Rhinolophus ferrumequinum: one gene and its partner. The protein of the gene in region 1 purifies or fractionates together with the protein of each later gene. This does not show direct contact. Links are inferred from orthologs where the notes say so. Each region holds a gene or a part of one and is shown in the gene's direction. Other genes may lie near its edges.

What was found.
Region 2: the proteins of EPB41L3 (region 1) and CLNS1A purify together in Homo sapiens (affinity purification with mass spectrometry; 3 studies listed by BioGRID and IntAct, with this or other methods). This does not show direct contact. The link is inferred for Rhinolophus ferrumequinum from reciprocal best matches to the Homo sapiens genes EPB41L3 and CLNS1A.

What each region holds. Positions count from the first base shown.
Region 1 is NC_046302.1:12,120,217-12,123,965, forward strand, and holds the start of EPB41L3 (band 4.1-like protein 3), read left to right. Parts: upstream 1-1,420; 5' UTR 1,421-1,738; intron 1,739-3,749. UniProt on the Homo sapiens protein: Tumor suppressor that inhibits cell proliferation and promotes apoptosis. Modulates the activity of protein arginine N-methyltransferases, including PRMT3 and PRMT5.
Region 2 is NC_046294.1:51,910,019-51,913,767, reverse strand, and holds the start of CLNS1A (methylosome subunit pICln), read left to right. Parts: upstream 1-1,439; 5' UTR 1,440-1,522; coding exon 1,523-1,647; intron 1,648-3,749. UniProt on the Homo sapiens protein: Involved in both the assembly of spliceosomal snRNPs and the methylation of Sm proteins.

The sequences.
Region 1 (3,749 bases):
GAAAACAGTCATTCATACACTGTTGCTGATTTTCTACATCATGAGAAAGATTAAGATTCATGAAGCCGGGAGAACAGTTAGTTTTCAATTAAAAAAAAAAAAAAGCCAAAACATGGCAATAAAATGAATGAAAACATGAAACCATCTGTGTCTCCAATGATAATACCAACTTAGTGTTTGTTGTAAACAATACAATTTGTTCAAGTCCACTTTTAAAGGGGTGCACTTTAGTGTGAACACAAAAAAGGAAAATATGTAAATCCATTCTTCATGCACAGATCTTATACGCAACACATACAACCATGTAAGTACAAATGTACTATGTGTATATATAGCTCTAACACTCATGTGGCCCTAACAGAAAATTAATACAGGTGATCCCCAAATATATCATCCAGTATTTGAACTACCACCTTTATCTGTCACTTCAAAGACAGTTCAGGCCCTGGTACTTGGAACAATGCCATAGTCACTTCCTATTAGCTCCTGGTATTTGACTGTCCATTCTCGTTTTTGCTGTGTCAACAGATTATTTTTCCTATAACATGAAGTAAATCACATATTCTTGCTTAGAATTTCCCAAAGCTGCACGTCTTCCACAGAGTATGGGTCCATAAACTCCATAGCAACTGAGTTACCATTATTTTCCAACCTTCTCTCCAGTGAAACATGAAAAACGCCCCCTCCCTTTTCTATTGCTGTTTCCCTGTCCTTGAAACCCAGGCCAAGTGTCAGGGACACACCAGGCTCACTAATCTCTGCCACTGGCATTTACTCTGCATCACATGTTTGCCCCCCAACAGTAAATACAATATTTTTGTGAGTCCATTTTCCCTCCCTCAATGAGTTGGTGAGCTCCTAGAGGGGTAACTAGGAGTATATGGAGAGGACCTTAAACATTTCAATAAATATGTCTTGGTTACTCAGTTAGAACTTAGATGTTGTGAGAAGACCAGGAATAATTTCTGTCACCTACACATCAGAGTGTGAGCCCCTTCCTCTCCATTTCAGTGTAAAGCTTTATCAATAATGACTTCCTGTTATTCTGGGAAGCTTAGAAGACCACCTGTAACTGTGAACATTCATGGTGGGGGCAGGGGGAGATAGTGAGGAATAGAAGGCTGTGGAAAGAAAACCGCTTCCCTCACCTTTAATTCAGATTTTCTCTATTAACTTAATATTTCTTGAGTGCCCACCCTGTGCAAGATGCCACCAATTTGAATTTTTTTCTTTCAAAAAGAAAAAAAAAATTACTGTAGCCCCTAAGCTAATAAATAACTCACCTGAAGGTCAGGCACACCTTCCCCCCACTCTCAAAAGGGGTGTCTGGGAAGGGAGAGGAGGGGATTAGAGGGCCCAGGCAATAATCTAAGTGGACATCCAAAGGCTAACGCCATTGGCAGCTGTCGCGAGGTGTTGTCCCCAGCCTGACCCTACGCCTGGATGGAGAAGACTGTTACCACGTAACAGTCCTCAAGTACTGCGGTGGCCCATTCCCCCGCAGCCGGGAAGCGGAGTCAGGACGAGCTTGGCTTTCTCTGCGCGGTCTCTGGGCGTGTGCCCCCGCCGCAGCTCCGCCGAGCCTCCGAATCCCCTGCAAAGGGGGGCGGGGAGCCGCGGCAAACAGCCCGCGTCTGCGGCTTCCTCCCCACGCCCGCGCCTCTTGCGCACAGCCGGGAAGACGCGCGCCGAGCCCATCCACACGCCGTCGCGCGCCCGGGCTCCTTGCCCAGCCGAGGTAACTTTTCTGTCTGCTGGAACGCGGGGATCCCAGGGGGTCTCCCTTTTGCGGGGTGCGGAGAACAAGCCGGAGGCCAGGGGCGAGGCGCGCGGGGCTGCGCCGCTGACGCGTGGCTCCCGCGCTGCACGGCGGCCGGAATCGCCCGAGCCCAGATTCGGCCAGGCCCAACTCGGACCCCGCCTGCTCGCCTGCTGGGATCCCTGCTGGGCCGAGCCGGTGCGCCGCACCCCGTGCCCCGGGACGTGCCCTCCGCCCGCCTCCCCGCTGCAGCATCGGCTGGGCAGGCGCCCGGAGCCTGAACATCGGCCTGTGGGGAGGTGTGGGGGGTCTCCTGCGGAGCCCTCGCCGAAAAGGGCGACTCGGTCCCCGCGCCTTTTCTCGCTCAATTTGCCTAAATCCCCCGTTCGGGGCGCCATGTTTTAAGTTACCCCTTGGGAGGGCGGGGGCGAGGGCCGGGCAGGCTGCGCAGGGAGGGCGACACTGCGGCGCCGCCCGGGGCGGGTGGCCGGCCCGCGCGGGAGGGGCCCTGTGCGGCGTGGCTGCGGGCTTGTCCCGGGAGCGGGATTTGGGGGTAGGTGCGCTCAGCACAAAGCATCTCCGCTCGGGAGCGGGCCGGCAGCTTTTATGTAACTTGTCTCCTTTCCGAACTGGGGCAGTGTCCCTCAGACGCCGGCGGGGGCTGCACCTCGGCCGCCGGGGGAGGTGGCGGCGTCCAAAAGAGGTTGCTCTTGGCCAGGGCACCTGCAGGGCCCCGTCGCCCCTGCCTTCCCTCCCCTTGCACCCCCGCGCTGGGAGGCCGAGGCTGGCCTGCCGTGGCCGAGGGGCGGGGAGCGGCGCGGCTCACCTGGCGCCCGCGGGGCTGCGGGGTGCCTGGGGAGGTGTCTGCGAGAGCAGCTCTGCGGCAGGTGGGGGTGGGGAGGCCGGGGCGTCGGACCGCTGGAGTCCTGGTCTCAGCCAATTCCTTGCGGGGGTTTCCCGGCTCCTGCAGCGGGGGCTTGCTTTCTCGGATTTCCCCTCTAATCTCGCCTTACTTCCCCTCCCCCTTTCTCCTCTCCCTTCCACCCCCAGCCAAGTTCAAGGCTTCTGCAATGCGGTGGGTGTGGTTACCTAGTAAATTGTAACTGTGGTCGGTTGCAGTGGGAGAGTTCTTTCCTTTTCGGTTTTTATATTTACGGACCCAAAGTTTTCTAGGGTTTTCTCCTCCAGTTGCAGCTCCGGGTCAAAGTTGGGAAGAGATTGTGGCAGAACACATAGAATGATAAAGAAAACATGTGCTATTAATTACTCCTGGAGTCTGGGCTGAGAAATCCTGAGGGGACCAGGCAGTCTTGCTAATGCAGTTCTTCCATTACGTGTTTAAGTTGGTGTTTCAGCTTTTTTACATTGGTCTTGCGGAATTGCTTCTGCAGATGTCCTTCCTGTCTTTTTTGGGGGTCCATTTTTAGGCTCTCTGAGGCAACCAGGTGTGTTGGAGCTTCCCTTGCTAGCATTACCATCCCTAGTAGAAGAATCATTACACTAAGTGCTAAAAACATTCTTTTTGAATTTTTCACGGATTTTTAAAGTCTCAAGGAAACTTCACTTATTTCTGGGAGCCCTGGATGTAGTATCAATTACAGCAAATTAAGCAGAAAAGTCCTCTTAAGAAAAGGGAGCACGTCAAGCTTGAGTGAACTCTGGGGAATTTGAGGTGATTTATATCTTGGCTCAGACAAGGTTTAAAAAAAAAAAAGCATGTTAATTTTGGTGTCAAACTTTTAAAACTTTAGTTGGAGTAACAGAGTTATTGTGAGAGGAAATAAATTCTAAATCGGGAAGCACGTCTTTAATTTGTCAATTTCAGAAGGCATTGATAAAATAGTGGAATACTAAATGCTGCCTCATTTGCATTATGATTTTCTGACGGTTTAGAAAAGCGAAATATCAGGTGCACAAGTTACTGCATAAAGTTCATCTAGCTAATATACTTTAGGCAAATAATTTTTGTAAAACACATGCTTTGTGAATG
Region 2 (3,749 bases), on another chromosome or scaffold:
TGTCATCAGTAAGACAACACAGCAGGGTGAGAGCAATCTGTCGTAGTGACCAGTTGTCCTCTTCAGCTGTACAGATTCTAGCCAAAGTTCTCCTCGTATTATTTGGGGGATTCTGTTTCCGAGCAAAGCATTAGCTCTTTTACTAAATAGCCAACCCCATATAGATGTCCCACAGGAAACCTCAAATTAGCCATTTCCCATACTGGATTTGTTACCTGCTTTGAAAGCCTACTCTTTCCCCTGAATTTTCCATCTTGGAGAAACGAGTCTGCATCCACTCAATCACTTAGGCTGGGAATTTAGGAATAATTCTTGACTTCTCTCTGTTCTTCATCCATCCTGATCTTTTCTTTCACCCAATCTATCTCCCGATTCAGAAGATTTTACCTTTGGAATAGCTCTAGAATTGGTCCCTGTTTCCAGCCTTACTGCTACTCTCTCACCTATACTATAGCAACAACTTCCTCCTCCTCTCGCTACCCACAAACCAATGCCAATTAAAATATCTAACACGTCTCTAACTACCCAGAGGATAGAACGAAAACGGCTCCACACGTCCCGTCCTCCCGTCACAACAGTCCTACGGCGTAGGTATGGCCGTACTGATTGCCCAGGCAAGAAAAGTGACGCCTAGCGCGATTCCCCTAGGTCTCTCGAGGCTAAAAGCTCTTGCTCTTGAGTTTAACGCCTCAGGCCTGTCATTTGTAAAACTGGATCCATAATAGCCACTTTCTCAAACGGTTGTCATAAAGAGGAAATGACTAATATGCGTGAAGTGCTTAGAAGAGGGCCGTGAACATGACACTCGGTTACCTTAGTGATTATGATCACTTAAAGTGTTTATTGCTGTTATTACTTTGCTGTTAAGTGCCTAAAAAAGTACTAGAGCACACGCTCCAAAGCTGATGGATGAACTCTCCCTTCAACGCCCCATCTCCTTACAGATGTAGCCAGCTCTTCACCAGAGTGAATTACCTCTGGGTTCCTTTGCCCGCGGATACGTGGCTCGTGCACTAGGGCGGTGTCAGGATCTAGACTGATGTCTGGGGCGTGGCTGTTAGTTGTGATGTGAACAGGCCGGGATGAGGCGGGCGCAAGTGATACTGTAAGAGCTGTAAACTCAAGAGTCCTCTGACCTCTGTTTAGATCAGTGAGGTCTCAGGCCTCTGTTTCCCTTTTTGTAAAAAATGGAATTTATTACTCCTTGTGCTTCCTCGCTCACAGGACGTGCAGTGACGACCCTAAAGTAGGATGTGGGGGAGAACGCTCCCTTACCGAAGCGGGGAGCCTCAGGAATGGCGAGGGAAAGTGGGGAAGAGAGTCACGTGACAGCCAGACCTCCCAGGCATCCGAAAGCTAGCCCTAGAACGTCTCGTCTCTATGGTGGATGGCCTTCAAATTCCGGGGCAGACTAAGTTGCTCTTCCGGGGTCATTGCCACCGCTTCCGGGCTGGGACGCGGCGAGTTGGGGTTGCTGTGCTTCAGCTCCCTCCTGGCCTGTGTCTGCGTGCTCACTGCTGCAATGAGCTTCCTCAAAAGTTTCCCGCCACCGGGGTCAGCTGAGGGGCTCCGGCAGCAGCAGCCAGACACCGAGGCTGTACTGAACGGGAAGGGCCTCGGCACCGGCACCCTTTACATCGCTGAGAGGTAGGGTCCCTGTTCCCGAGTGCTGCTCCTGCGCGCCGCCTGCTGCGACCTCGGGTAGCGGGGAGCTGGAGCGCGTGCTCTCAGTCGCTTCGGCGATACCTGTGCTGGGAGGTAGGCTCGATTGTTCTCGTGCCCTGTCCTCCTGAGCCGTCCTTACTCTCTTCTTCAGACGATGTTCTCTTATTGATTATGCTTTGTACTCACCTGTTTACAGGAGGTCTGGTGCGTGCATTGTTCTTGACTCCAAGTCTCGTCCTAAGGTGTTGAGTTTCTAGACCCTGAGTTAGAGTCATCGAGGTGGCCGCTTGTCTTTTCCGGTTAATAGGCGCGGGAGATGTTGCCCTGGGTAGGATATGTAGGTTTAGAGCAGATTGTGGAGGGTTGTGCAAGTTTGGTTAAGGATTATAGATTGTCTTCTGGAGGTGCGGGTGGCGAGAAGAGCACCCGCAACCCCTCTCAGTTCCCATTTCTGCCGTCCGTTTCCATTTCTAGAAGGAATTGTCTTTTTATTTGGCTATTTGGAGCACTTTGCACTTGCACAGTCGGATACACATGTCTGAAATATTATGGTTGTAGTACTGAGGTTTCATTCATCACCAAGCCAACAGTGACACGTTGAATCCTCATTGTCCTTCAAATCACTCTGACTTTTCTTTCTGCTGCATCACTTTGGGCTGCAGACAGAAAATTCTCAGCATGTAAGAGCTCATGTGATTACATTGGACCCACACAGATAATCCAGGATAATCTCACTGTTTGTCAACTGATGAATAACCTTATAATTATGACATCCATAAAGTTTCTTCTGCCACGTAATATACAGTATTCACAGTCTTGACACCACAGGATGAAGGTTATAGGGGCCAAAATTCTGCCTGCCACAGAGGACACACACACACACACACACACACCACCCCACAAAAAAACCCTTCATTTAGAGAGAAATCTAGATACTGAGCAAAGTTTAGGCTTTTGGCTAGTCACATAGATAGGAGATAATGGATGGGAAGAAAAGCATGTTTGGGGGGAGGTGCAGACAATGAGTTTGGTCTGGACATGTGGGGATTAGTTGGAGATGTGTGTGTGTGAGAGGGGGGTATTACAGATAGAGATTTGGAAATCATTAATACCAGTGTTAGCATCTACTCACGGGAATCGATTAGATACCCCAGAAGAGATGAGGGCAAAGCATAGAACCTTGGGGACACATCTACATTAAGAGGTGGATCATGGAAGAAGAGACTTGAGAAAAGGGAGGAACAGTCAAGTAAAATTTGAAAAGCATCTGTTGGGTATCGACGAGGAGATCTTTGTTGATCTTGAGAGAGCAATTTAAGTGGTGGGAAGTGGAGTACGGAGATTCCTAGCCCCTACGCAATTCCTTTTTGTCTCCGTGGCGTCTCTGTCTATTGGCTCTTTTTTCTATACCATAACCCCTTTGAGGGGAGGTCCTATACTTGTTTTTTCATTTTGAAAATTTTCAAACCTAAAGAAAAGTTGCATGTGTTGTTCATTAATACCCAGAGACCCTTCACAAAGATTGATCAGTTGTTTGTTAACATTTTGCCATGTTTCTGTCTCTTCTGAGCTATTTGAGAGTTGCAAATATGTTACTTTACCTGTAAATATTTTAGCATATATCTCCTAAGAACAAGGGCATTCTCCTGTATAACCATAATACAGTTATCACACTCAGGAAGTACAAACTCCTAAATTCTAATCTGTGGAAAATGTTTTTATTTCAACCTTTTACTAACAGATCTCTTACCTTGCTTTAAGAAGATATTTTTGTTAAGTATACATACAAAAAAGAGTGTACATTATAGATCTGTGGTTTAAAGAATTATAATTAAACCAACACCTGTATGTGCACCATTCAGGTTAAGAACAGGATATTTAAAAAAAAAAAAAAAAAAGAACGGGATATTACCAACACCTCGGGCACTTGGGTTCCTCCCTCTTCACTCATTGCCTCACCTCCTTGGTCTCTTGGTCTCTTTCCCTTTTTGTTCTTTCCTACCTAGCATTTCCAAGTCTTGATAGAATCAAGCTCTCAAACTGGGAAGGCTTCCTAGAGGAGGTGACAAATGAAGATTGACAGC